Tribolium castaneum: one gene and its partners. The protein of the gene in region 3 purifies or fractionates together with the protein of the main gene of each other region. This does not show direct contact. Links are inferred from orthologs where the notes say so. Each region holds a gene or a part of one and is shown on either strand. Other genes may lie near its edges. The genes, in order: synaptosomal-associated protein 25, Snap29 and Syx1A.

What was found.
Region 1: the proteins of Syx1A (region 3) and synaptosomal-associated protein 25 purify together in Drosophila melanogaster (affinity purification with western blotting; 4 studies listed by BioGRID, with this or other methods). This does not show direct contact. The link is inferred for Tribolium castaneum from reciprocal best matches to the Drosophila melanogaster genes Syx1A and Snap25.
Region 2: the proteins of Syx1A (region 3) and Snap29 purify together in Drosophila melanogaster (affinity purification with mass spectrometry; 3 studies listed by BioGRID, with this or other methods). This does not show direct contact. The link is inferred for Tribolium castaneum from reciprocal best matches to the Drosophila melanogaster genes Syx1A and Snap29.

Annotation. Positions count from the first base shown.
Region 1 is NC_087396.1:11,299,187-11,309,776, reverse strand, and holds the start of synaptosomal-associated protein 25, read right to left. Parts: upstream 7,292-10,590; 5' UTR 7,134-7,291; intron 6,837-7,133; 5' UTR 6,834-6,836; coding exon of another isoform or gene 6,806-6,833; coding exon 6,744-6,805; intron 6,690-6,743; coding exon 6,648-6,689; intron 4,500-6,647; coding exon of another isoform or gene 4,451-4,499; intron 4,080-4,450; coding exon 4,031-4,079; intron 3,738-4,030; coding exon 3,689-3,737; intron 2,463-3,688; coding exon 2,345-2,462; intron 2,284-2,344; coding exon 2,010-2,283; intron 1,367-2,009; coding exon of another isoform or gene 1,304-1,366; exon of another isoform or gene 1,087-1,303; coding exon 1,021-1,086; 3' UTR 1-1,020. Other genes in the region: PheRS-m (probable phenylalanine--tRNA ligase, mitochondrial), read right to left, coding at 7,500-8,789. UniProt on the Drosophila melanogaster protein: May play an important role in the synaptic function of specific neuronal systems. Associates with proteins involved in vesicle docking and membrane fusion.
Region 2 is NC_087401.1:16,863,560-16,873,324, forward strand, and holds Snap29 (synaptosomal-associated protein 29), read left to right. Parts: upstream 1-4,422; 5' UTR 4,423-4,516; coding exon 4,517-5,263; 3' UTR 5,264-5,435; downstream 5,436-9,765. Other genes in the region: uncharacterized protein LOC100142142, read left to right, coding at 1-270; larval cuticle protein A2B, read left to right, coding at 3,309-3,320, 3,820-4,350; uncharacterized protein LOC135266932, read left to right, coding at 6,508-7,761.
Region 3 is NC_087395.1:25,528,203-25,538,692, forward strand, and holds the start of Syx1A (syntaxin 1A), read right to left. Parts: upstream 9,839-10,490; 5' UTR 9,744-9,838; coding exon 9,711-9,743; intron 9,473-9,710; coding exon 9,383-9,472; intron 6,567-9,382; coding exon 6,467-6,566; intron 1,108-6,466; coding exon 1,033-1,107; intron 976-1,032; coding exon 793-975; intron 737-792; coding exon 663-736; intron 613-662; coding exon 475-612; intron 1-474.

The DNA of each region.
Region 1 (10,590 bases), on a different chromosome or scaffold from region 3:
TCGATTGAATGCCAAATGACTAAGAAGCTTGTCTATTTTGCTAAGACAATAAATTAAAATGCATCTTCAGTCACTTCACCAAGATGCTTTGAGCATTTCGATGACGTAACGTCTTTATCATTTCTTATTAATTAAATATCACTCGTCCATCTTAACACTATCAAAAAACTAGCACTAAAACTTAAATACTGTACATAATTAAAAACAGAAACTTTTAAATAATGGAAGATGTCAGGACAAAAATATTCACACCCGTTTGGGAACAATTTGGATATGACTAATCACAGTGATTGCATTTTAACTAGAAAAAAAGGCTGCATGCCTTTCAGGCTTCCGGTCCTGTTCCCCTAACAATTTTTTATAAACTGTTCCAAACATCAACAAAAACAATTCGTTCTGAACTCGCCCCCAACAAATCAATTTTTGATAGTTTCGAAACTGAGCTAACCGACAGGGCAAGTTCCTTGTGATTCTAGTGCATATACCAACAATATATACAGTTACAGCGACAACCTTATGTACAATGTGGACTCAACAACTTCAATCTTCCAAAAAAACTCACATCACATTTAGTAGGTATATGAATACTTGGTACAAGTTATGTACTAGAGCTAAGTAAGCGCCGGCAATTAGCACCACACCTTGAGAAAATCGCATAAGTAACATCCGTTTTTTCCTGCATGAACTGGGATTTAATCCAAGAAGAGTGCAAATTTTGTGCTTCATCCTAACTAGACAGTTTCACAAAGAGCTAATACGTGTATGTTAAGCGTTCACAAGTGTACGAAATGAGCATAATTAGGAACGTAATTCATTGCATCATATCGCTAAATTAATTTAGAAAAATCGAGATATTAAACGGCTAGCTCTACTGGATGCAGCAATAACCGGCCATGACTTTTTAAATATTAACTATTACATTATAATGATGTTATAGTAATACTCGTAAACTAGTAACACTAAGCCATAACATTGAGAATTGATAGAAGAGTATAAAAGGCGACTTGTGTCCCACTCCCCTTAGGACTTGAGGAGTTTGTTGGCACGCTGGTTTGCCACTGCAATGCGCGTTTCGTTGCTTTCACCCTAACCAACAAACATATAACCAGTGTGCCCCATCACAAAAAACTACAGCCCAACCTGATCCGGCCCCACACTAATAAAACAAGCGCAAATTGCGTCAAAACAACCAAAAACGGTTAATTTCGTTTCTTAAAGTTTCTCCAATTGTAGAAAAATAACAGGAACGGATCAGGCTTGCAATCAAAGTCTGTAAAAATATTAGTGTTTTTGTGTTGTGTGTCTACTTGAGGAGATCGTGGGCACGCTGATTGGCCACCTCTATCCTTGTTGCATTGGACTCGCCCTGATTCGGACCATTAGTAGGTAATGTACGAGTAGATGTAGTGTCGTGAAGTGAACGGCAATGTAAACAAACAACACCAAGATTATTAAAATTCACAAGCAAATCCATCAGAAAATTATTCGTAAATGCTAGCGCAAATCGGCAGAAGCTTTTTGAAAAAAATAAAACGAAAATATTTAGAAACCAATCAAAGAGTGCATTTAACGCTCCAGTGCTCGCAAATAAACACCCCACTGGTTCAAAAAGCTCGACGCGCCAGGCGAGGCTGCTCAAACTCACAACCACAAAAATTTCATTTTTATTTGTCTAGTAAAACAAACAACCATTAAATGGGTCATTTGGAAAAGAAAACATGCCCTTTTTTCTGTGATTTCCTTCTCTTTGCAAGCGGCCTTATTTTAATTATCATTTGTATAGTGTTTGAAACCCTTTTAGCAAAATTAGTATTTGATTATGTTGAAAACTTATATTTGTGGACATGTTGCCGTTTCCAAATTACTGGTTCAGTGCTTCTTATTTGAGAAACCCCCCCTCCAAGTTCGTAACTAACATACTTACCACCGTTAGCGTTTAATTAAATTAAGATAAAATCCAGTGCTAGCACAATATCGAACGAAAACTTGTAAAAATCGGCCGTAGTTACCTTGAGATTGATACGATCGACCTGTCTGTTTTGATTCTCCAACTCTGAGCCCATGTCGATGGCCATGTTGCGCAAATTTCCGATCATGGTATTAACCTGTCCCATGTTTTCTTCCATTTCTTCCTCGCGTGCGTCGTTTGTGATACGTCCGATGTATCCTCCCTGCGGCCCAAGACCGTTGCGATCGTCCATCATTCTCTGCGGCTGATTATTCACGACTTTTCCGTCGTCGTTACCCTTCCAAGTGCCTTCGTCCTCTTTAAACGACGACCCTCTGCGATAAAATAAAACAAATCTCGTGTCGTATACAAATCTAGATCGCCTGAAGGACTCACTTCTGACATGGTAAAACGCACAGTCCGCAACATTTTTCCATCCCCGTGAGGTTCTTTTCGGCTTCTCGCATATCGGCGTTGATTTGGTCCATGCCATCCTCGATACGGTCCAGTTGCTCTGCGCAATATCGACTTCAATAAGCATTTGGACGAGTCCGAGGCGATTTAGCACATTAACTCGCTATAGTTTGAAATGTGTATGCGTTTGATGTGTGTGTCAGAGTTGGAACAAACCGCATGCACATGCCACTATTCTACTCGGGAATCCCCGAATCCAGGTCAGGGACTCGGTTAATGCACTACAGTTCTAGATGTTTTAGTAAGCAGACTAGTATTCAGTAAAATTCATGCTACTCGAGATGTTTATAAGAACGACCTGAGCTGGGAAATATAATAAGAGAACTGACAGTGTGAAATATACACGTTTAACGGTTATGTGAGTTAGTGTTAACTTACTTCGACAGTGTTAATCCTTCATGTATGTTGTTGTCTTTGAATCATGTATTATATTATCCATTACAACGTTATTTTTATTGATGAAGGTTCACGCTGAAGTGCTTTCGTTTCGAGACATTCGAGTAAAATTTTTATAATGTAGGTAAATTTTAAGAGACGAAAGCATTTCAACTGCTGACTGTACTTCATTGATTTGTTTTGGACACGTTTCAGTTTTAGGAGGATATGGGAAAGTTGTGCAGGACGATTTGGGTACACATTTCCTTACTTATCCGTCCCTCGAATCGTTTTATTTTACGCCCGGCTGGCTGCTGTCGTTCGATTTTTAAGCGCCTCCGTGCGATAAATATTTTAGAATTCCACATATTTCATAAAAAACAAACAGTACGAGAACAATAAATAAATTAAACACCGTATTGACATTTTTTTTAAATAAAAAATGCTCCTTAATTATTCACTAAAATATTTCCCGAGGATGTCGGGTTTTTAGCAAACAATAAATAAAAAATATTCTTAGTAAAGTTCAATAATGCGTCCAAATCCAATCCAATAACCCTCTGGACAATTTAGGAAGTAGTTCAAGCGAAAATGTATGCCTGGAGAGGAAGTTAGAAACTTCTTCGAGCATAAATCAAACACAAACTCCTATTGAAATCGAGCATTTAATTAACGGCCTTCAATTATTAACTACCGGCTTTTTTGTAATCCTCTCGCCCTGCACAACTAAGAGACTGTGTCATAAATCTGTATCGTCAGGTAAGATTGGGAGGGCAAAAGTTCAACTGAGAATGTCGTGTGGTTCGGATCTAAGGAGTGAGAATTGTTCAGTTAATTGTGGGTGAATTGGAATATAAAGAGAGACACAGCGAGACTAGATAGTATGCTTACCGCCCTGTTCATCCAGCATGACCAGGGTTTTCATCCCGACCTCGTGGCTCTACAAACATCAAGACAATCAGCTTGGTAACCTGCGTCCGTTCTCACCATGTTCTCCCCGTTAAATAAGTGAGTCAGTTGGGCGAACACAAGCTAATGTGTTAGCCCGACTGGCGTTGTTAGTCCCTTCGACACCTATAGATAAGTTAATCCACCAAACAGAGACCTGTTAGCCCACCACAGGTGTAAAAAATGAAAACAAACTCAACACGGTCTTTGCGAGAAAGAGCGCATTGCAATTAAATCCCCAATAAAGCAATGGTTAATCAACACCTGGACACTTCGAGTGCTTACCGCCTTGATGGTGGAGCATTTCCATAGTCTTGGCGCCGGCATCGGTACTCTACAACATCACAGTGGCTAGTAGCATACTTACACGACAATACACAGCACACCACTAAACCACAACACCCAGATAAATATCAAAAAAGATGTGGAATGAAGCAGAATAACACACAAGTAGTGAAAGCAGTAAGACAAGCTAAAGCCACCATAGCATGCAAAACGTGTGGGAATGCAAAATGTATATCAGTCTGTATCCATGTAAAATACATCACATTTAAAATGATGATGGATGGCGCCACAGCTCGTGACTTAAGTCACAGCCGTGCGTGAATATGATGAGGTATACACAAAAATTTGAGTCACAATGACGGATCTTGGGTTAAATGATATTTGGGTTAAGTATGATAGAGTGAGTGGAGAGAGACTCACCTCCCTGGTCATCAAGAGCGACCAAGGTTCGGATTCCAGCCTCCTTGCTCTACAGCAGCACAAAACAAGTGTACACTGTTTGTTAGTATAGATGTTAAGTGGTACACGCCCGCTACAGATAAGCACTCAGTATATTATTTGTTCAGTTCGAAGAGATAGAGAAGAGATTTATAGAGAGGAAGTTAGAGAGCGAGTGGAATGGGTAGCCCGGCAAGCTGGAGGAGGATGTACGATAAGCTATGATAGAGGCGCGCGAGTCGCGACACATGAGGGTTTCAACAGGATCACCTTACTGTATAACCATAAAATAAAAAAATTAAATGAACACGCAAAACTTCTACAATTCATTTCTGTTGTACTGTCCAACAAAATTACACTTTTTCCGCTTCTTTAGGTTTTTTTAGGGTGCGAATGTAGGCGAATTTTTTTTTTATTTTTAATTTTAGAACAGGAAAGTGACCAACGAATTTAAGATCAATAGGCACCACATACTTTTCAGTTTTCTTCTAAAGAGAAACTGATTGTAGACATTTGACAATAGCCAAAAAGCCGAGTTTCTCAAAAACCAGTTCAAATCTTCAGTCATTTTCATTTCCACAAAAACGATAAAAAAATTATACAGAATGCGATAAGATGATACTAAAATAAGAAATAACAGAACTGGCATAGAAAAAAACGAAACTTGTTTATTTTCTCACATCTGAAGAACGTTTTTAAATAGTAATTTCAATTTTGCATTTTCAAAATTACATTTTTTTTTTTAAAGAACAAACAAATTATGATTTTTTTCAAGTAAACTAAGCTAGAAAATTAATGTATTACTACACCCTAATAAAGTTCATAGAAATTACCAACAACAGCATAAAGTATTTTCGATTTCAGGTCTGTTTAAACCGTAAAATTGTAACAATCAGCGCATACGAGCGATTTCTCCTAATTAATATTTGATTTTTTTTTTAATAATTTGGCGGAAGTAATTCTTAACGTATTAAAAATGCAAAATCTGAAATGGCTATTTTAAAGCATTCCAGAGAACTGAGAGCTGGATTAGTTCTTTCTAACCGGATTTTAACTACAGTTAAAATATTAAAGTTTTTACGTTATAAACGTTTACACAAGATTAACAATTCAATAGATGTTTTTTGCAATGATTTTTTTTCTCACTGAAACAAAAATAAACACTTAAAAACGGGTTTAATTAAACAAAATCTTAATGTAACTGCACGTGAATATAACAAAATGTTCCCATCACGGCTTCTCATGATTATGTTTGTTCTTCAATATCCATAATGAAACGGTTAAAGACTTCAGAATATTAGATATAAGCATAAAAAGTAATCTCCAAATCTTTACACGAAATATTAATAAAAACAGCCATATCCATAAAAAATAATTAAACATGAACGGATCTAACAAGTTTACTGACAGACAAAACAAAACACCAATAAGTAGTTACGAAAAGATGACTATCGGTTAGCAAGGTTGAATATTATGAATTATTACGAGAAAAACGCTATGAACACTAATTTGCATTACGATATAAATTTCGAAAAAACTACAAAGCCAGCAATAAAACAGAAACGAAGTGTAGAAGCCCTTTTCAGTTTAGTTGTTTTAATAGATCTCTGTATGATCATTTTTCTGGAGCCGGTGTTTGAGGTGGCGGTGGTCGGGAATCAAATATTCAACTGTAGTCTGCGAGTGTGTGTGTGCAAAAGTGCGTGTGGGTATTTCTCATATCTGTACACGTAATAACACAGCACAAACACAGGCACACTTGCAGGGCTACCGCTACCACAACATCGAGTCCATGTAAGCACACCGCAACCGTCCCCGAAACCCCGCCGCATTCTTCAGCAGAGCTCGCCCCACGGTAGTCCTGCTCTGCACCGGTTGAGTCGAATCAGAGGACAGAAAAGACAGTGCAAGACATGCAGCACAGAGATACACCAAAACAATTACCAAACAATTTACTCTTATCTCACTGATCAAACTATGCCATCATTGTATGGTAATTGCAACACTTAGAGCAAAGAAGGGATGAGTTTTACGAAAGTCAACTAAAAATAAACAAGATCCTGACACCCCAACTCGGTTCATTTATCACGAAATTACATTAGGGATAAGTCACCTAGAGAGAATTATTAAGATTATCGGTATGGATCTGGGTGGGTACAGCAAGGGGGCGGATATTTACCTCTTCACACAGTGCCAACATGCGCCGGGTGCTCTCCAGAGACTGCAAATGATTGAATATGTTAATCAGGTGGTGCATAATTACGCCAGGTGTTACCTCATCGGTGACTTGCCCAGCCCGGAGCTGGAGCTCCTGCAGCTCGGTTCGGGGGGCCCCATTTTCGGCGACTGGTGCAGGTGCCGGCATTTTCTACGATCAAGAATGACAGAACTGACAAAAACCAGACGACGCACAATCTTTTTTGCTTGGGACTGTACTCTACATTGTTTGACCCGAGAAAATCAATAATCGCGTTAAGGGAACCAAGACGGGCGCGTTCTCGAATTTTCAAAAATAGCCAAATTTGCGATATTTGCATCTCATGACATCATCTTTTTTGCAAAAATGAATCACCAAAGCATCCTATGACACCCGCTTCGAACAAGACACGGCGCCCGGACGGAAATGCCTGATGGTGCGTTACATGAGAGAAACGTTGCTACTTACGCTAGGCTGGGAGTAACACGCACTAGGGGGTTCCTAAACGATTCTTGGGCTAATTCAGCAGTAATAAACAACACTGGGAATTTTATTTCACATAACACCTTGACAGGACAACTGTCAAAGGGTTATCGCATTTGAATGACAACAGCCAACTGAGTGGAGCAGGAAGGGAGATGCGGAGGAACTTAGCGCTTCTGCACATGATCCAATACCACTATGGAGGGAAATACAAATTTCATAGTATTTCTCCCTCGTTTTTGGGTAAAATAAAAACCAACACTTGCCTAAAATGTAATCTTTATTTCGCAATATTTTACAATTATTTGAGCAACAATATGCTGCTTAATTAAATAGGGATTAACTGTGACATTATCTAATCTGGACTCCCAATGTGGAGGCTGCAACTTTGGCGATTTCGCTGTGAATTACATTGACATCGGCCTGGACCAGAGTTTTTTCCATATGCCGGTAGATAATGCGGTAACAGTGACTCGTTTTCCCAAGTTTTGGATGCGTGAATTCGTCCACTAAAACTACTTGTTCAATTGTATCACCTCCAATGTTTCTGGCCAAGTCGTAGAAATCATTACTCGAAAATTCCCTATCTTGTGGTAGCCAAAAACTGAGATCGTTGATACATTGTGGATATTGACTGATTTGTCTATAAGTAACGTCTTCGTCATATTTTACTTTAAACTGGTTTAAAAACCCAGTGTCTTTGGACCAGAAGAGCCGAATATCGGGTATTTTATACAAACACATTGCGACCCTTTCAAGCCCGATCCCGAACGCCCAGCCAATCCTGTCCACAATGCCAGAGTTGGTTAAAATGGGCTGTCTCATTATCCCACATCCCAGCAGTTCTAACCAGTTGTTCTCGTGAAACACCTCCAGCTCCCATGACGGTTGAGTGAACGGAAAATATGTATCAATCCACCTGTACTCAATTGTCTCCCCAAACAGCTCCTTGGCAAGGCCTGCCAGAGTCGTTTTCAGTTCGTGTTCCATCAACTTGACCGCTTCCAGAGTGTGACACGCCTGTTTCTGCTGGGTTCCGGTGCTCTGGGTGTTGTTGCCCACCTCAAAAATCTCCAAGCTTTGCTCTTTGGGGAACAACTCGTCTCGTGTCTTCAGACGAACTGCGTCCACCTGGTGGAAGACCGGGTAGTGCGTTCTGTCGATTTCGTCCCGTCTGTAGACGTCTCCAATCATTAGAAAGTTGTTCAAACCGGCCCTCATCAGCTCCGACTGGTGGGCCGTCATATGCGCCCGCAATAAATAGTCCCGGTTTAGGTAATAACAGTCGCTTTTCAAGCGGGACGGGTGGTCTTTGGGGGTCAGTAAGCTATCAAAGTTTTGGTCTACGGTTACCACCGGGGGCAGGGCGTCATACACTGAGAAAGTTGGGTTTCCGCGGCCGTTGACAAAATTTTTGTAGAAATAATTTACAATTCTTTGACGCACGTGGCTAAGGGGGTGGTGTTCTTTTGTGTGGAGATTGCGACCCAAGTGCGAGGCGATTTTATCGGTGACATTCGTGAAGTCGTCTTTAGCATATGTGGTTTCTAGTAATGTTAAATGAGATTGGATTTCGGGTTTTACAGATGATGTGAGACATCTGATGATTTGGAAATTGCTAATATTTAGAGTTTTCAACATTTTAAAGACCTGTCATCACATTCCTAACCTTACATAACCTTCGAATTTGAAGGCAAAAAAGTCTACAGCGCGTGCGCCTCTAATTTGGCGCAAAAAAATTAAAAACAAAAAACGAGATAAAATCACTCGTTGCAATTGTATTCTATTATATGTTATCCCAAATCATTCTTTTTAACAAACAACACCGTCGAAGGCAAATTCGAAAGGCATTATGATCGTAGTCAGAAATTAAAAAATCGAAACCAACACTTATTCCAAAAAACATCATCCCCGTTTTTAAAACTGCAATAGTTACCTAGCCCAAGACCCCCTTTTACACATTTGGATATTCTGAGACAATTTCCAGTCACTTTTTGTCTTTTTTGTTGAATTTTTTCGAAACGTCATTTGTCAAATTGAAAAAATGCGCACGCATGCGCTTGAGTTGTCAAAGAAAAAAATTGAATTGAAGACCTGTAGACTTTAATGAATTACCGTAAGGCACGTAATGATTGTTGTAAAATTTGTAAGCATTCTGATTGGGCTGTTTCAGGTCGGCCATTAAAATTCCGGAGAAAACCAATCAAATTAGATTTTTAGATTCATTAAGAAATTATATTTATCGCTATGATTGGTCCTCTTAAGGTCGGCCATTATAATAAAGGCAGAAACCAATCATTTCAAATTTTTAGACTCATTCAATATTTTGATACGAATGGTCAGTTTAAATTTGAAAACAGGCAATAAAAAAACCTTGTTTTTTAAAATAAAGAGCCTTCCTTAATGCTTCCCTGAAGTCAAAATTTTGTTTATTCATTGTTTTTGTACCTAAAAATTTTGTTAAAAAAATTCCGTTAAGAATTTTATGGTTTTTGGATGCACTTCTACACTTTGACGCCTTCTTATCGAATAGGTAGTACCTACCTCAGGCTTGAATAAATACAATAAAAAAAAATAAAAAAAAGGACTCATCTCTACGTCATCTACTTCCGCTACAACCCTTTAATCCTTTCAAATGCATTTTGCTTCTACTAAACGACGCTATGGCCTCGCGCCTATGATATCATAAATTATAAAGCAAATAAGAAAAAATTATCAAACATCTTATTTTAAATTAAAAATTACAAATAAAATGTCCAACTTGAAATTGGACTCTTGTCCCTAGAGGTCTAGGGGATCTACCAGCTTGATTTCTTACCTCTAGTGGAGATTCGGAAGAATTATACGAGATTCAAAATCAGAAATCATCATAAAACTTCGAACAACACAAACTGACTTCTTTACTTTACTAAAACACGATTATTTTTCTAAAGCAAAACTTTTTTTTTAATTTGATTTAAAATAGTTCATTATCCCTTTTTCATTCGTGTGACAAAAAAATTCAATAGTTTTCGGCTGTTGCGAGGATTTTATGAAGAGAGAGGGTTTTGTGAAGAAAGACGGCTACTACGCTCCTACACTTTCAAATTTTCGAAGCGACATTATCTCTCTTCATTTTCAGTTACTGACATAAAATGAATAATATTTTTAACTTCTGGTAAAAACGAGGTTGAAACGTAAAATACGAGTAATAAGTGAAATAAGTTGTCAATGCCTTTAAGTCTTTAAGGCTTAATTTTTTTAGAATTGACCATCCTAACTTAAAAACACTAACTGCATATCCCGAAATTCCAAAAAAATACTGAAAACTCAATATTTTACTGGTCAAAATTTCACAAAAATAGTAGAGATTCATATAAAAATGCAGCTTAGTTGATAATTTTCTCGAAAAATGTACCTAAATTCTTAAATACGCCACTGTAGCAGTTAAAAATGTTGAAAT
Region 2 (9,765 bases), on a different chromosome or scaffold from region 3:
ATCTATAGCGAACCGGTGGATAATCACCAGTACGAAAGGACGCGGCATGATTTCGAACGCGGGGATTTCGATAGAAGGAGTCGGAATTCGTCGAATACGTCCGGGAGGAGATCGACTGGTCGGACGCGTAAAAACCATGCTCGACCCCATCTCGGGGTGCAAACCTTGCCGAACCACCAGGATTCCATGCTGGTGGACGAACAAGGTTTCGTCAGATTTAGGCACATGCAGGAGGAGAAACCGAGTCAGGGGCATTTTAGTGATGCGTGAAATTCGGGGCTGAGTCGGACTAAAGGGTAGTGAGCCGAGGGGGCGAATTGCAATTAGAAAAAAAGTACAAATTTCGATACATTTTGATGATTTTTGGAGTTGTCAGTGCAAAAAATGGATGCCGGGTTAAATTGGGCTGTGGCGCCCAACGTGGGGCCACGACCAACTAACCAAATCTTTGAGAGAAAACGAGTTTTAAGCTGCAATTATGGTTAAACACACTCATGATGGCATGTCTACTTAATTTTATTGAAGAAATTTGGAGTGAAACACTTGAAAGACATTAAACAACGACCTAACTATACCTAGTTATTTATTGATAATACTCATTTCGTGACGTTTGGAAGCGCAGGGTACTAGATAGCCCCGTTTCGTGTGATTTTAGCAATAATTCCGTTAATTAGAGCTCACTACCCCCGCCGCCCCCGATAGACGGTTCGGCCTAATCAAAACCCACTTTCGCTTTTGACGTTTTAAAAAACTTAGCCATGACAGTCACACGTGTGAACGCGGTCCCTCACGAGGACAAACCTAATAAAGTAAAAATCCACTAATTGTTAGATTATAGTGTATGTACGATTATAATACTTTACGATGATAAAGTAGCAGTGTATAAAAATGAATTTGCAAAAGTGTACATATTTATAATGTTAAGTGACTATATATAATTTTAATTTTTTATATAATTTTTGATAAGATACAGGGTGTTCGTGTTGACAACAAACAAAAAGAACGGCAGCTACTATGACCCGATTTTCTCAAAACTCTTCTCCGAATTGTTTCGTCCCCTGTATATTTTTAGTTAGTTTAGATGAACGGACTGAATTCATGTTATTTATTATCGTTCGGGCTAAATACACGAGAAATTACCGTCCTAATGACCAAAATAGGCGGCGGAAAAATCGCTCGCCAGAGGGCGTCTTTTCCGGCGACGTGTCACAAATATGTAGATGTGTTTTGTTTGTATATATGTATCTAAGCCAATATTTAGCCTTGCCATTTTTAACTGCTGGGTTTTTTAATAACGTAGTAAGAGTTAAGGAAGAAGAATTATTATTTTTGTACATTATGTTCAGTATTATTTTTTTACGTTCACAGTATTTATTATTAGGTTTCCTTTCTCACAAAAGACTTGATTTTTATACATTCCTCGTTACTTGCCACTCTTTACTTTATAATGTTCCTAAGTGACGTACTTATACCAGTAATTCTGACGTTTTTTGCCAGTATTTCTATAACGCCTCTACTTGTATTAGTATAGAGAGAATAACATTTTTTGATTTTTGGTGTCACACAAATGTTATTTTAAACAAATAAACTACAAGATATAAGTGAATCTGGTGATTTTCCAAATGTACAAAACTGATGAAAAATACATTTCGTAAAGTCATCGCTTTATTTATACGAATCGACTTCTATTGTATTATATTATTGTAAAATATAAACTATGTCTAAGCTTGGATTCAATTAATCCAATCCCTTTCACTTAATCCTGCCAGTTTATGTAACTAATTATACAAAGGTGCATTGTGGGTTGCTTTACATTAATAGCTGAAATAATTAAACGTAATTACACTGACATGAACAGTTAAAATCGTTGTTGTGTGTGTTTTACAAAACAGACAATGTCGGAGGCTTTGAATAAGAAAAGCAAACAATGAAACGATTGCTATTATTCCACGTAATTACAGCTGAATACGTCGATATTTCAGCGTATAGGCAACCAGTTGGGCGAATAGATTCGTATCCCAAGTAGGCAACGTTTTGGAAAATTTATTCCGGCCATAATATCACACGTCGTCGCCGTTAAAGTCGGCGAAATTTGCAAGTCGCGATAAAGATCATCGATTTAAAGCATAGGTTAATCCGTTCCATTTCGTTATCGGTCACGTTCCGAAACAAATGGACGAATACGTTTCGAAAATCATAAAGCGCCATCGTTGTGTCGTGGCTCTAAGTTTGATAAATGCGAGGATCTGGACGGAGAATTAATGGATGTGTCACGGCTTCGCCTTAAAAAGGGTGCAATTTGTTTTTTTCCTCATGTCTAGAGGTGGTTTTCCCAAAGAAAACGAAGAAAAATTGAAATGAAATTCTGTGATTGCGTAACCACGCCCACTTCGGGCCGGGAAATTTAAAAAATTTGATTTTCTGCCACTTTCATTAATAATTGACGACCTCGGGGGTTTACCCAAATCTGCGGAATTTATGTACGAGTTGTACGTCTTTGACCCGAAAAGCGATCCGATTACGGGAATGCCTGATTATTGCTATTATTACCCGACTAAATGAATTTATGGCCGGAGGATAACCTTTTTTGTTCCAAGGGAAGCGAAGAAAAGATCCGGAGGGTGATTTATTGGCCCTATAGTATTGTTGGTTGCATAACCAATAACGAACGTAGCGAGTGCGCCAATTGTATTACTTTCAGTAAAATGTTTCTGGTAATATTGACAATTGCAAACATTATTTGAATAACCCGATTTAATCCACAATGTACTACCGATTGCTGTTTTTATTGTGTATTGTTTTTTGTTGTAATTAATTCCAATCGGCAAAGCTCGTCCAAATGTTAAATAAACAATGTGTTTGTTGATTATTTTATCTGATATTAACGAATTAGCGCTCGAACGGAACTCTGCAGCAGACATTAATTATTTGCAGTTTATAAATTATAATAATGAGGGAGGATAACATGTAATTATTTACTAGTTTCAAATTTATTTTGGGTAAATAGAAATATATTGATGGGCGTGGCCAATTCAAGACCAGTCGTACCAACGCAAATTAAGTCAGGCATGAGATCATTCCAGTATCATCTTCACGGCCTTGACTTTTCTCCGTTTAAGAATAAATTCATCGCAAAATGAAAAAGAAATCACAAACACGTTTGTGTGTCCGTGTGTTGTTTCTCAGTCACGAGATTGTGTGAGTGACGCAATTTACCAACTTTCACTCAAAACGCAAATCTGATTTTAGTCATTTTGCCACAACGACAAGAAGTGCATCGGTGTGTTTGACAAAAAAAACGCAATACAATGAATAGAACGGTGAGTTTTTGCCGAATTTTTGTGAAATCTCAAGCCTCCGGCAATCGCCTTGTCCCACTTTCATTCTCTATTCATTCCCAAGACGATTAATCAAAAGTTATTGGCGTAAATATTTCCCAAAGTTTAGGCGCATTCTAAATTTGGGGAAATTGAGTTGCGTGATTTAGTGATTTACGATTGGTGACACTGTTAGTTATCACGTTTCAACGCTGCCAACTTAGAAATTTACAATGACGACGTCATAAAGTTTGGATTAATGACCGAGGCCGCCTCGATTAGAAATGTCGCGTATGTTTACTACCAACAGTCATGTGAATCCATTCGGGGGAATTACCGGATTAATAATTATTAGCCCAGTTGGCTGAGACGTAAACAATTGCCACTAATCGTAAACCTCACGAAAAATAAACCGTTTTATTGTTACGACTCCCCTAAACCGGGCTTGATATTTTAATTAAAAGTCCTGCCAACCCCACAATTTGATTGTTAAAATCCCCAGTTTTTGGCCCTGTTGGCGCTGACCTCGGGGGCGGCGTGCGACGTCGCCCACTTGGTGCACGTCCAGCAAACCGAGCCGTCAACACCGCCGCCGCCCCCAAAGCCGTACGCTTTTGGTTACGCCGCCGGTCGTTTCCCCGGCCACATCGACCGGACGCATTCGGAGGTTTCCGACGGTTCGGGGGTGGTCCAAGGCTCGTACTCGTATGTGGATCCCCGGTTTAAGATCCGCACTGTTGAGTACACGGCCGATAAGAACGGCTTTCACCCGGTTTTGAATTTCGCGCCAGAGCCGCTCCCATCCGACACGCCGGTGGTGGCGGCGGCCAAGCACCGCCATCTCGTGCAGTTCGCAAACATCGCCAACGCCAGGCATGCCGCCCCCGGGACGGTCGTGGTGCCAGTCGACTCGGTGGCGGTGAGCCGCGCCAAGGACAAGCATTTCAAGCTGTTCCAGAAAATCGCAGAGGAGCATGCCAGGCTGGCGGCGGCGCAGGAGGCGCAAGGGGGCACCGAAAAGCCCATTTATTGAATTGTTTAATTGCGAATAAAGTTTTTTGAGCAAGGTGTATTGTTGGTTGCCTACACTAACTGTGATGTTACTAACTCAAGCAAGAAAATCCCCACGTCAGTGTCAATAACAAATGTCAAAATTGCAACTTTTGTGTTTTTATTTATTGTGATATTCCGCCCCCCAAATGTCGAATCCCTACGCCAGGTCCACTAACCCGTTCGAGAACGACGACGACGTCGACGATGAGCTGTTTTTGCGCAACTCGCGTCGGTCGCAAGGGGGCCCCCAGGCGTCTTTCGACGACCAGTTGCAGTCCTTCCAGGAGCGCAAACGGGCCATCGAAGACCGCACCATCAACAGCACGGAGAAAAGTTTGAGTATTTTGCGCGATTCCGAACAAATTGGCATCGCCACAGCCGAAGAATTGATGAGGCAAAGAGAGAAGTTGGAGAAAACTGATAAGCAATTGGATGAAATCAACGCGACTTTGAGATTCTCCCAGAAGCATATCAACGGGATCAAGTCGGTTTTCAACAGTTTGAAGAACTACATGGCGGGGAAAAACGACGCAAGTCCGAGCCCCCCGTCAAAGACAACTAAATCAGAGTCTGAAGATTTGCACAAAGAGTTCGAGCAAAAGTTGTCGACTTATGACCGCTTCGAGAATCATCCCTCAACCAGGTTGAAAAACTTGGATTATAATAATGCGGGGCAAACGTCAGGGAGTAAGGATTTTAGTGCGAAACTGGACGCCAATTTGCAAGAAATGTGTTCAAATATATCACGCTTGAAAAATTTAGCCACGGATTTGTCGTTCGAGATTGACTCGCAAAATGACTTGATTAGCACCATTACTGATAAGGCGGAGACGGCTGATATGACCATCACCAAGCAGAACAAAGATATGATGAGAATATTGAAAAAATCCTAGTGTTTTTAGTTTTTAAAGCGGAAATCAAAATGTTGCACTTTTCTGTCTTGTAATTGATTGTAATACTCTCTGTTTAGTTGATTAGTAATTATTTGTATATTTGGAGCGTAAATGGATCTATCGATTGTTGTTATGATTGCATTATTATGTGAATAAATTCTTTAATAATGAACTGAACTGATTTAAACGCCCCCCCTTCCCACAGTGTTCTGTTTTACCGACATTGTCACACCACACTGACAGCCTATTCTCTGCTGACAGCCACGGGTATGAAACTGGGGTTGCATAAGTGGAAACACGAAAGTATGTGGGCCACCTCCTAGGGTCGGGGAAAGAGGGGTCAAACAGCGGGTGTATAGCGCGTGCTCCAAGCTTCTTTTCCCAAACAGCCAATAAGATTCGTTTGCGCAAGAGCAATTGTGTTTCAATTGTTTCTCACTGTTGTTTTTTCGTGAATAAGGGTCAGAAAAGGAGTTCCAGGGGATGTAAGTAAAAATAAAACTGATTTGTAACTGTATTAATTCAGTTTTGATGTATTTTTAGAGACGAATAACGTTCTCATGGGGTGAAGTGACGAGCAGGACTTAAATTAAATTAACAAAGTTATGTTGTTCCTCGAAAGAAGTACTGCTGCAAGTATCCAGGCTGCAACAACTGGTACTATACATCAACACTCCAGAGGGCTTTGTGAACAAGCACTTTTTTGTGTTTCCAAAAGACCCTACGCAGCATCAACAATGGAGGAACATTTGCAAGATAAGTTCCAAAAATTCAGATTTTTTTAGAATTTGTGAGGATCATTTTGACGAATCTGCTTTTGTGAATGAGAGGAAAGATCGTCTAAATTTCAGAGCAGTACACTCGTTCCCACTGAACCATCTGACATTCATTTACTTGAGGATCTGCCACATCCAGATCAACAAAGCAAAATATTTGAAGATCCTTCTTCATCTGCTTTGTCTGAGGAAAATGTAAATGTTGTTGGTTCTTTGTCTGTTGAATCACCTTCAACGTCATCTTTTGTAAATTTGGCATATAATGAATTATGCAGTTCCTCTCATTCGCAAAGTAGTGAAGTAATAAACAATTCAGATTCCACCATTTCGAACAGCAGCTGTTTAGAGAATCATAATGAAACCTCATTTAATGTAAACAAATTCGCGTTTCTGGATAATCAAGGTAGAGACGGTATTCTAACTAAAATTGGCTGTTCTTCCAAAGATTTGACACCGCGAAAAGAGCTGATGTACAAAGCTCACCGAAACATTCAGTCGAGGTTGTGTAGATTGAGCAAAACATTAGAAAAGGAAAAGGGTAAGGTGAAGACTTTGCAAAAATTGTACGATGCCGGAAAATTCGAGTTCATCACCGAAAATTTGAATGAAGTCACTAAGGCTTTCATTAATTCACAATTGCGAAATGTTTCCTGTCAACCGACCGCGCGCAGATGGACAGACGAGGATAAAGCTTTTGCTTTATCTTTGTACAAGAGAAGTCCGAGATTGTATAAGTATTTGCAAGTCCATTTTCAATTACCCTCTTCCCGCACACTGAAAGCCATTTTAGCTAAGATTCAGTTCGATACTGGTATTAATCCAGGTATTTTGGAACACCTGAAAAATCACGTCTCAAAAATGAAACATGCAGATCGTTATTGTTTGATGAGATGTCGGTTTGTCAAGGATTTCATTATGAACGAGCTAAACAGTGGTTACGAGGACATGGGCTCCTTGGGTCGCACTAACAAAGCAGTCAACCATGCTCTTGTTTTTATGATCCGAAGGTTGAGACTCCAGTGGAAACAAGTAATTGCTTATTACTTTACGGCAAATACAGTTAGCGCGAACAATCTAAAGTTTCTTATTGAAGAAATAATTTCACAACTTCAGAACATCGGTTTAACGGTAGTCGCTACTGTTTGTGATCAGGGCACTACAAATGTTTCCGCGTTGAATCAGCTTTATGCCAAACAACATCCCAGGCAAGGTTCATATTATTTCTTCATTAATAATCAGCCGATTGTTACAATTTTCGACGTGTCGCATCTTTTAAAAAACACGCGAAATGCATTATTGAAATGCAAAATTCAACAAAAAACTTTTAAATCGTTGCCCAAATTAAAGAAGGAGTATTTTAATTTCAAAGACTCTTACATGAAAATGAAGGTGAAGGTAGCCGCTGCACAGCTTAGCAGCTCTGTGGCTGCTGCTATCGAAACCTTCGTCTCTTTTGCACATATTCTGCCGTCTGAAGCCATTCATACGGCTGAATTTGTGCAGAAGGTCGACAACATGTTAGAAGAGCGCAAAAAAATCATCAAACTCACGTACGAAATGGATCCGAGTTTTGGAAAATCGCCAGAAATCGTCAGTTTGATCCGAAAAACCGAGATTAAAATCACAGCTGCAAATTTTTTTGTTTTGGACAAATCAACAATTTTGGACGTTTTGGAAACTATAGTGGCTTTCGTCATCGTTCTGGCACAATTCAGGACTTGAAAAAATAATACTCTCGACTGTATAATTTTTTTTTAATAAATAATTATTTTTTCCCACTCGTTTGAACAAACCCATAAAACAACCCATTTTCGTTCTTCAAAAGTTGGGCAGGTGGGCCAAACTCGGCCACCGTCCCAGCATCCATCACCAGGATCTTGTCCGAGTCCATGATGGTGTTCAACCGATGGGCGATGGTCAGAACCGTACAATTCCGAAACTTCCTCCTTACAACTTTCTGGATAACTTCGTCGGTTTTCAAGTCAACATTTGCGGTCGCTTCGTCCAAAACTATGATTTTTGAGTTGCGCAAAATGGCCCGGACTAGGCACAAAAGTTGCCTCTGGCCCACACTAACATTAGCCCCGCCCTCCAAAATCGTAGTTTCAAGACCTTGCGCCCAATTCGTCACCATTTCCTTAAGTTCAACCTCTTCAAGTGACGACCACAACTGACTGTCGCTGAATTGCTCAAACGGGTCCAGATTTTGGCGCAAAGAGCCCAAAAAAAGCACCGGATCTTGTGGAATTATCGCGATTTTTGAGCGCAAAATCGACAATGGGAGCGTTTTAGTGTCAGCACCGTCGATCAAAACAGTACCATCGAAGTGAAACAGGCGGAAAAGTACCGAAATTAAACTACTTTTGCCAGCGCCTGTCCGGCCAACAATTCCGATTTTCTCGCCTGGGTTGATGTTGAATGTGACGCTTTTGAGTACCGTTGTGTTGCTTAGAGGGTACTTCATGGTCACGTCGTCGAAGAGGATGCGACCATTGTTGGGCCACAAGTCCGATGGTACCGTGGTACCATCGTCTTTTTCGGGCTCCAGTTCCGCGTATTCGACCACACGTTCAACTGAAGTCATCTGGGAGTCGAGTTCGCTCCAGGTTTTGGTACCGTATTGGATTAAGCCCACCAGGGAGGTGGACTGGGTTATGGCCAAGCCAATGTAGCCAACCCACATTTCTGCAAAAAATTTACAGAAATTATTGTGAAATAATCGACAGTTTTTCAATTTTTTTGAAACTAAAATTTACAATTTTTTTATTTCTTTACTTTTTTTTGTTTCAGTTTTGTAGTTGAATGTCTTTTAGTTTTTTAATTTCTTGGTTTCTCAATATTTTCAGTTATCTAATTTTTTAGTTTCTCATTGTTCCAGGTTCTTTGTTTCCAGTTCTCTACATTGTTCATTTTTTTTAGCTTTTAATTCTTTCATTGTCTTAACTACTTTGAATGTCGGTTTCTCGTCAGATCAGACGAGTTAAATACCTTTATATCATTTTCCGAAAAAGTGCGTACTTTCTTTAGAAATTTTTATTAACCCATCTATTGAGAACCACTGTGTGGCTTATGGAAGTTTATTATCAGTTATTTTTTTTATTAAGCAAACTGAAGATGGTGGATCAGGGGCGTTTTAAGAATTTTTCAGGGTCCCCACGATGCAACCGCAGCCTGTGCCCCCCACGGCTGCATCACACTGGCCAGCGCTGAGCCAGCGCTACCCCCAGCAACAACAGGAGCCCCCCAAACCCCAAGGAACGATGACAACGGCCGAGACCCTCGCGCAGCTCTCACAGGCGTGCAAAAGGTTAGATCAGTTAGTTGACTTATCTAAAATGCTCAAGGCGGTAGTTGATCTCACCACCCTGCTGGAAGGGTGCACAGATCCTACCTCCAAATTTATGACAGTTTTCGAATTCACCCAAAATCTCCACACTTATGGATTTTAAAGCCATTTGTGTAATTTGGAATGCTAATAGTGTCAAACAAAAAATTGACGAATTAATTGCTTTTTTACATTCTAACAACGTAGACATTTTAGCTATCAGCGAAACTAAATTAACACCTAATGATAGATTTTATATTCAAAATTACAACATAATAAGGCAGGACCGAGTAGACGGTACTAATGCGGCGGGGGGTGTCGCGATTTTAGTCAAAAAAGGTATTTCATTTTCAAAATTAACGTTACCACGAACCACAATAGAAGCCGTCGGAATTAAATTA
Region 3 (10,490 bases):
AATTTAATCTCGTGGAAAAAGTGCTTGAAGACAAAAATAACACTATTTTTGACATCATTTAATACTGTTTAACTCATTTTTAATGAGATAAATAACATAATTTTCGATTCAACTAACCGGTTTTTTGACTGATTTTGACAAATTTTTGCGAAATAACAAACTCTAACTAAAAACTAACAAAAATTTAAAAAATAAAAACAACAGCATTTGTCCGACTAAATCTGTTAATAGCTTGTTCATGATTTGTTAAAGTTTCGGCTCAATTTCGCATAAAAAAGACTAAAACCAAGACGTTTTTCGACTTTATTTGGCTTTTTTTCGACTTGTTTATAATTTTCACAGTTAACTTAGCAAAATTCCGCGAAATTGTTGAATTTTTTAACTAAAAAACATGGACAAAGTCTTGAAAAAAAGATAACTCTTGATATGATTAGGTACTTTACCTTTTAAAGCGTTAAAAAAATGGTCCCTTACCTGGTTCTCGACTAGCATGGCCATGTCCATGAACATGTCGTGCAGTTCTTTGATTGAATTTTCTAATTTGATAATATCAGCGTGTCGCGCTTCGATATCAGCTAGGGTTTGCTTGGCTTGTTGCGTTTCCATTATGATCTAAAATTGGGGATTAATCCCTGAAACTTTCCTAGATTGAAATTACGTACACCTTGTGTGAAGACGGCCGAATTGCCCTGTTCTAACATCTCTTCTAATTCTTCATTAGTTGTCGATCTGCCGGCTGCAATAAAATCATCGCAATAAACTTGCGATCAAATCACTCGGCGAAAAACTTACTGATTTCTAATTGTCTTTGTATTCTCCCTTTACATCGTTCTCTGTAATCCGTCTGCGTCCGATTATATTCCGTCATGACTTCTACGAACTTTCGGGATAACGTCGAGTGTTGCGTTTTCCGTATCCTCAAATCCGCCGACGATTTATTCGTTTGTTCTTCTTGCTCTATGTTTTGTTCTATCACTAAAAAAGCGATCAAAATTTGGCACTTTTACGCAATTTATTTATTTTTTTTGGTACCTTTAAGCTTGGCACGGACTTTATTGGCAGTTTTCTTGATATCGGCCATTAAATCTTCAAGTTCTTGTTTCGTTTCTGAAATTAAGAAAAATTACATTACATCGCATTTAATTATTCAAGTCAATAATCGATTTCTACGAGCAGGTGAAACGCCCGCTCCTCACCTGGACTACTACAACAGGTAAAAATGGAAGTCATCGACTTGATTAATTCACTGTCAATAAAACGGCGAATTGGGAACGAGGCGATTTTTAACCAACTTAAATTCACCTCCCTCAGCATATTTCAATTAACTCAAAATTGGCGGTACCGGAGAAAAATCAAACAAATAAATTCGTTTTATTACTTGGAAGCGATTTGCATCTGAACGACTATTGATAAATGTATAAAATATGAAATTATGAGATCCGTTCAAGCAGCTCGATACCATTGAAAGCAACTTGCTATCTTGCTAGAAATCTAGAACTTTGTGCATTGTGAATTGAGAACGTAACCGGAAGTAAGGCGGAAATTCGGGAAACTCCGTCTCTGAAGCTAATTCTAATACTATGGAAAATGCTTTTAGGCCACGATTGGCTTAAAGAAGTTTCAAAAAGGCAAAAATAACACCACTTTTTTATTAAATTTTGTGAAATAATTCAGACGAAAATCCGTTACAAATACTGATTAGTGAATTTTTAGCGTTCTCTTTGACATAATTTAGACAAAAATACCGTTTTCAGCAAAAAAAAACATTCGGAAATCAATTAAAAGGACGAAAATACTGTCAGAATCTGCAAAATTTAGTATTTTTTTAGCAAAAAATGATCAAAAGTGATTCTAATGGATGGTTTTAGGCAAAAATTTAACTTAAAATCGAGCTTAAAGGCCTGAAAATAACAAAAGTAACAATATTTTCGGTTCAATTTTCAACTTGTTTTGACGATATTTTGAAAAATCATTAATTCTCCAACTTAGAAAAGCAAAAAAGAAGAAAGAAACTGATGGAATAGTTTTTCTGAGCCAACATTTGGGAGAAAAAGAACTAAGTATTATTATATTATTATAATTTTTCGGTGAAATTTGCCGTTTTAAACTCAAAAAAGTTAAAAAAAACTCTTTTTGGACTTTAGTTTTTTGGTGTAAACACGTAAATAAACCAAAAAAACAGCGTTTCAGATTCAATTTGAAGATTTTTGGGTTTCTTTTTGACGAAATTTTACTTGAAAATGACAAAAATAACATTATTTTTGGCTCAATTTTTAAGAAGTTTTGATGAAATTTGCTTTTTTAGAAATTTTTTGTTGTCTTTTTTCTTTAGTTCTCTATCATAATCTACTAATTTAAGAAATTAAAGAAAAAAAGTATAAAAAACACGCAAAATGTCCTACTTTTCTAGATATTGTGATAATTTTTCGGTCAAATTTAGCGATATTTTGCAAAGTAAAAAGCAGCTTTTAACTAATTTTAAACTTTAATCCCCCTTTAACCCCTTTAGGGACTAAATAACTATAAAGAATTACATTGTCACGCAGATTACGTAAGTATGCAAAATTTCAATTCATTCGGACAACAGGAATCCTTTCACATTTGGCTTGGAATATATGGAAAAAGCAAGTTTTTTTGCTTTTAAAAACAGCTGTTAGCTTCAAAATATCAAAAATATGTATAATACTATTTTCGATATAACTAGTTTTCAGCTTCTTTTTAACGAGATTCGCGAACAAATTGCGTTTATGTTTTAAAGACGTGCTAAAATTGATAGGAAAATGCTTTCATGTTATTACATTTTCGGTTACAAAAAATTTCAAGCCGTGGTTAAATGTTTAAATAACGTAAAAAAGCTAATTCCATTCGAAACACTTCGCTACGTTTACAAAAATCGTCACGGAAAAAACTCGTAGTCGATCAAATTTGCCTCGAACCAGTGTTTTAATGTTCCAGACGTAAAAGTTTGGCTTAAAACTCGTAACTTTTTGTTGAAAATCTCGCCTCGTATTTCAATTCGGTTTATTCCCCATTCATCACAATATAAATTGAGATTGTTCGTCGGCGTGAAACTTTTCACCGGGAATGCTCTTATTAAACTTTTTTTCAGCTCGAGATTTGCGCTAAATATTTAAGCAGCTCGTTTCAAAACTCGGTTAATGAGATACGCTAATATCGGCCAAAAATAGGGAATCTTTTAATGTCGCCTAACACAAAAAAAAACGATTTCGAGGAGCTAATTTCAGCGTATTGTGTGTTAAGTACTTTTCCAACAATAGGAATGTATTTGTTGACGATCGATTCAACGACCAGTGGTTAGGTTCTCATGCTTTATTACCGACACTACATTTAATATCTAAATAAATGATTCTTTCATCGCATTAACGCGATTGATCTTAGCGTCCAGGCAAACAGTTGTAAATTTCCGCAATTCCAGTTTGAATTAAACGGTGTTTTTTGTATGCAGATTTAAATAAATCGTGTGTCTGGATCTAGGGACACTTTTCCCGCTTGCTTTCTCTCGCGCTACCGCAGATGATAAACTAGGGAATACCTAAACGTAACGTCCTTAAACCCCTTATTGATCTCGACCGAGTCCTAGATTTACTCTAGGGCACAAAAAATTTTAGCCCTTGACAAGCACACCATCGATCGGCGTATTTTCATTCAACTCGAGCCGAGTAATTGGCGAAAAGTTTCCCCGATTCATATTTGTTGCTTTTGGTACGTTAGTCCCGAAAGAATCGTGATTTCGTATGAAACTTCGTTTCTCGCCTTGGACGAATTTTTTGCCTCTCTTTACGTTCCAATTTTCAGATGATAACTCATGTCTTGAGACGCCATTAAGTGCGGATATTTCGAGGCGAGGCGAGTATTAAATTTTTAAGACAGCAACAGGGGGATTTAATTTGTCAAAAACTGTTATTCTCTCAATAAAAATTCCGCCTTTCTCTGGCTTTTGATTAATGTTCGGCGACCTTTGCATTCCCGCCCCCGCAATAAACATCTTTCGCCGACTTTTTGTCTTGCGTGTGGGCGAGACTATAAACATGTAGGAGTTGCATCCGAAACTATAACGATTGGTTTTATCAAAATGGAACAAACATTTGCGTCCATTTCTGCGTAAAGTTCGATTAAAACCGGCGCCTCCACCAAAATACGCTCCTCGAATTACGCAATAAATTCATTTCAATCAACACTTACGTGCGATTTCTATTTTTAAAGCGGGCACGTTTATTGGATTTTAGATTAGAAATGTGCGAAAAAAATTGTTTGAATGTTAGTGAGTGAGAAGCGTCCGAGTTAATTGTAATAATTGGGCTGTTTGCAATAATGGAGCGGACGCTTTGATCTCCGACGCTGGAATTGTGTTATTTAGCGCAACAATTTGTTTAATAAAACCACTCGAAATAATATCAATGGGAAGAGGGTTTATCGGAATTTCGAAAATGTTACGAAACAATTCCACTACTTTAACTAATTCATTGTTTAATCTTATCGATCGGAAAAAAATATCCGACAATTCCGACAAATAAATAACCTTTTCTCCTCTTTATTATAAAAATTGTGACAATATTTACAACAAAAGTTATAATTCGTGAAAACACTAATAAAAATTATTAAACTAATTAACTTTTGGGGTTTTTTCTATGTAATTCGGTAATTTTTCATCTAAATTCAGGAAAATTTTTCGGAAAAAACTTAGTTTTAACCTCAAAAGACTCGAATTCTAGTATAAATGGCTAACTTTTCAGCTTTTTCAGTCTGTTTTCAACAACACTTTGCGAAATAAATGCGTTTCTGGCTGAATAACGGGCTCAAAAACGGAAAAAATTAGAAAATTTTGTATGTAAATTGGTGATTTTTTGATATTTTCTAGTAAAATCTCAAAAAACAACTGAGATTTTTGTTCTACAAGGTGTATGTTAAAAAAAAAACAAAAGTAGCTTAACATTTTTATTGTAAAAAGTTCTTGAACAATAAAAGAATTTCTGGTTGAAAAGTGATAAAATAATATATACACCTATTTTTAGTAATTTTTTTTCTAAAAAAGGTAGATTTTCTCTCAAAAACGTGTTTAAAAATTTCAAAAACGCCGAATTCATACAATTTTCGATCAAACTTGGCAAAATTTCGGCTTGTTTTTTAGAAAATATTGGAGATAATTCCTTTTCTAAATATAATTATTCAACAAAATATAGTGATTTTTCACTCAATTTTTCAAAAGAAACTGAGAATATATTTTTAAACACGTGTTTATTTGCTTGAAAAATATAAAAATAACACATTTTACCAAACTTTATAGTTTTTTAGAAAAGACTTCGCCCAAAAACGAGCTAGATCGAGTGAACCTAGTCAAAAATTTAACCTGGCAAAATAAAATATCAAACGTTAAAAAAACATAATTTTTTGTTCTGAAACTCAAAAAATGTGCTTAAACTCATAAAAAAGACAAAAATATTATAATTTTTGGTCTATTTCAGTGATTTTAAAGCTTAGTTTTAACTTTGAAGAAAGTTTTGCGAAATAATTAAGTATCTAGCTGGAAAATATGCTAAACACTTGAAAAACAAGAATAAATGATGTATTGTTAGACTTAATAACTTAGTGCTTTTTCGATGTCCTTTACAAAATATCGCACATATTTGTTAAGTAAAATTCTTGTACTAAATACAATTTTGCACAAAAATATCACAAATTTCAACTTCCTTCGATTTTAGACGTTTTTTTGTAAAATAAATCAGTTACATATTGATATTTTTAATAAGGTTTTCGTTACAAACCAGTACAATTTTTACTGGATGTCTGGGATAATTTCATACAAAAACGATTATTTATTATGAAAACTACCATTTTTCAAACAGAAAAAATAACCCAGTGACTAATATTAGCTAACAATGCTATTTAGACTCGATTTGCTCTAATCAGAGGTCAAGTCACGCGAGTTTTTCCGACTTTATTTCTACATTTGTCTCTATATTTAGTTATGAATGATTCCATCAGGCTGTGTTTGTTAATTACGCTCACATTTAGTTGCAATTAAATAAATGTGAGTAAGCCCGCCCTCGCCACTCCCGCGCATTTCCACAATTTGAATTCGTAAATTGGCGATATATCCTCGATTATTACATTCGCGACCGCGTTTTGATAAAAGACATCCTGTGCGAAAGGTCGCAAGCGGTCGATATCGCGCCGACTTCCTCTCAACCTTTCTATCTTTCGGTGGAGAAAAAATGCAACAACCTGAACCTATCTACAAAATTCGCAGCAAGTCTGGATCGAATCAATCCATAATTCGCGTGACTAAGCAAGAGGGTCGACGACAGATTGTAATCTCGTTTTCTGCAAGACACGCGATTTTTTCCACAGAAAAAATGACTACTTAGTTAACGACAAAACTCAGTACAAGGCGTAAAAATTCAATTTCGGAGAGTCTGAATCGTAAAATGCTGATGTTACGACTTACTTTCATCACTTTGCGGCGCTGAAAGTATACCACTGTGTTTCTTCTTCACTTCTTCTACATTTGCTTGGATCTTATCTATCATGTCTCGTATGTCTTCCACCTAGAACAAAAGAAAGTGGATTAAGGGATTTGTTTGATGTGCCCCTCGACCAAATTAGATTGTCATTTGGTTAATCTACCAATTCGAATTGCAAATCCCCAATGAGAGTGTTTCAATAACTTGTTGCACATTTGGCGAATTTCATCAACTCGCAAATAACGCTAGAATTTATGTTTATGTAGCGTTAGAGCTGCTGACATTAGTACATCCTCGGGGAACCATCGCACAGGATGGCCTTAGTGCTGTTATCGTGTAAAATAATATCACCTCCAAGGCTATGGAGATAATGTGGCTAAAGAGGGTGGCGTTGACACGAAAAAAATATTCAAGTGGTGTTATATGCGAACAGGAGATCGTTGCGAGATAAATTGGCAACGTTTATGTTCGACGCTTTTCAGCGATAAATTCGATTCGTTTTGATACTTTGCCGAAGGCGACATTACGGCAATTTTTACCCATTGTTGCACTTTATTGCCCGTTTATTGGTCTCTTCTGACAAAAAACAAATAATTTCGATTTAATCTCCATAACTCAAATTAATAACAACTTTTGAAATTTGTAGTTTTTTTTTAATGTGGATATGTAAAAAACCAAAATAATTACTACAATCCACCTCAATCATTAACAGTTTTAACTCAAATTTCATCAATAAGTAATCATTTTTCGTATCTTTTGACTCGTTTAATTTTTTTTTTCAGCACAATTTGCTTCAATAACAAGTCTTTTTATTGATGTATTAATACTTTATATGACAAAACTGTATATTTATTTTGCCGAACGTAGTTCAAGCCTAATAACATATATTATTTTTTCTACAAACGTAATTAAATTGATGACAGTTTTTTTTTAAATATTGGTTCTATCTTTGCTGCATCACAAGAAATCGACGTGTGACACGTCAAATTTTCCATAAAGTGGGAAACATTTTGGTAAAAATAAAAATACTTAGGCACAAAAGTAGAACTTTTATTCTATGGTTGAAAAGAAGCATTCAAGTCACGTTTGCGGATAAAAGTATTAAAAGTCGTATAAAAAAACTTAAAAAAAGTATGATTTGATTTTAAAAAAAAAATAAAAATGTAAATTTTAAAATTATAAATAAATATTCATATTTCCTTTTTGACAATAAATAAATGGTTTCGATTGGTGTTTGCTTCCAACAGACGACTCTTCTAATTGGTCAAATTCTTATCCAATCATTTGTTAAAAATAAAGACAGGCCAATCAGACGCACGTTTCGTTGCTCTCTTTTTTGGACCTCATTTATAATTCAAAATAGATTGTAAAGATAAGAACCAATCCGAAGATAAAAAGAGCAATACGTCAAATTTTGAGCACTATTTAATTCAATTGGTTTTCTTTCCGCTTTGCACGGCCCTAATTGGTCAAGTGTTTGCCTTGTAAATCCCGACCAATCAGAAATCGCAAGAACACACAACAAAAAGTCACAACTGTGTCCCAATTGGTCGCAGTTTAAAGCCGGGCGTTTGTTTGTCTTTTTTGACGACCAATTAAAACACCGAGATAAGAAATGCACTCGAGTTTCCTTATCGAAGCAAAAAAATATCGTGCGTCCTCTAATTTCAATTTAAATAAACATACCAAAAAAAAACAGTTGTCATTCATTAATTTTTGTTATTGTGAGCAAAATATGAGTCCTTTGTTAAGCCTGAACGACTAGATAAACCCACAACTATACGAGTCCTTTCCTTTTCCTCTTCACGCAATGTATTCGATAAAACTTCATGAATAAAGCAACGAGTGAATCACAAACGAGCACAAATAATAGTTGTGCTCATACTTTGAAACAGTTCATTGACAGGTGGCTTTTGAAATTAAAAAAATCGACAACGAAACAAATTAGTCTAATTAACAGTCACGTGACCGAAATGACAAAACAAAAACTCATTTAACACTAGTTTTGGCCACACGACGACCCGTTCATCAATTAGGCAAAAAACCATTCCGTGTTACACCTGACCCATAATCACGTCGTATAATTTTTATTAAGTGTTGAAATTTTTCACAAACGACACTAACTTATTTATTTGCCTATTTTATTTATCAACAATGAGTCATGCAGCCTTCAATAAATTCTCTGATAAAACCGATAATTAAATAAAAAAGCCGCGTCATCTACGAAAGACACGTAAAAAAATAAAATAAAAATCTCGTCCAGAACTTATAATTTTTCCAAAACGTCCTTGACTCTTAATCAAATTGGATGAAATCCCTAAACAGGGATCATGCATACTAAAGAGGAAACTTTAATTAATTTAGAGCACTGTTTTAGCGCTGGGGTTTTATTTATTTCGGCGAGATTTATTGACGAAAATCGCGTTTTTGACATTAAAACTGTCTGAAATTCAAATTCGACAAATTGCAAATTACATGCAAATCGACGTTTCCACATATTTCATGACGGAAGCGGCAGGATAAACTGGATTTCCGGCCGAAATTAAGTTGGCAATATTGTCAATTGTGACGTTTTTTGATGGTCAATGCTGGCAACTGAATTTCAAAGTCATGGCCCACTTTGACCGGCAGGTGGTTGGTAACAGTGAATTTCGGAGATTAACGTGCAAAAACGTCACTTTCATTAATCATAACATCTGATGAAGATTAGATCAGATTAGGTAATGACTCACGCGTCATATGAAACATCTCTTTTATAATGACCTGATTAGGGAAAAATGTCGTTACTAACTGAACAAAAGGCAAATTCACCCTCGTTAACAGGTGCCATGACCTGATCAAAGTGGGCTGCGTTTTTTGACAAGTGTACAGGGCCGCCTCGCTTAAACGAGGTTAATTACCTCGCCAAAAAATGCATCCATGAAGCCGTCGCGGCCTTCGACGTTGACAGCCACATCGTCGGGGCCGACGTCGTCATCGTCGCTCTGGGCCTGCAAAAAATTTCAAAATTTTTATCGGAAAAATGACAAATCAAAGGGGTGGGGCGATGACAAAAGACTAACGCTTCGTCCACCTAACCTAATTGCCACTAGATCCAAGCGAAATCGCGATTTCGGCGGGGAAACCCCGGAATTTTCGTTGGGGGTTGTTGGGAACATTTGGTGAATCACCGAATTAATTGGATTTGTGGCGAATTAGCGAACGTGTGCGTGATGGAAAAATGCTTACAGCGACAAGGGCCGCCAATCTGTCTTTAGTCATCTTGGAGGAGGCTTAATCACACCGCACGGAAAACGTGTGTTTTATAAATGAATCCCATTCAAATTATTTAACACAAACACTAAAACTAGACCCGAGAAACCCAACACTTTCATCGGAACACGAAAATCGATAGAAGGGAGCTGCAGTGCTGTTGCGCGAAACTAGCGTCTGGCCCGTGCCGGTCTACAAATGTTCGATCAGTCGAAATGTTGCGAGCGAGGTCGGAACAGTACGAACGGAGACCATAACGGACTTCTCATTTCAGCTGGGCTGGTTAAGTCTAAAGAGTTTTCTGAGTATTTTAAAAATAATTACATTAACAATCGGCATTGATGGGCATATTGGAATAGTGGTTTTTATGGAAATATGTTGCGCGTGGCTGGGGCTTCGCCCCAGTTAACTAAAAGGAAACAAACCCCACGACCAATTAAACTCGAAAACGTGGAACTCGAAACGTGGAATAGTGTTTATGTTTATGAACTGTACGCCACCCTAGCTCCATAAAAAAACACTATTCCACGTTTCGAGTTCCACGTTTTCGAGTTTAATTGGTCGTGGGGTTTGTTTCCTTTTAGTTAACTGGGGCGAAGCCCCAGCCACGCGCAACATATTTCCATAAAAACCACTATTCCAATATGCCCAGCTGAAATGAGAAGTCCGTTATGGTCTCCGTTCGTACTGTTCCGACCTCGCTCGCAACATTTCGACTGATCGAACATTTGTAGACCGGCACGGGCCAGACGCTAG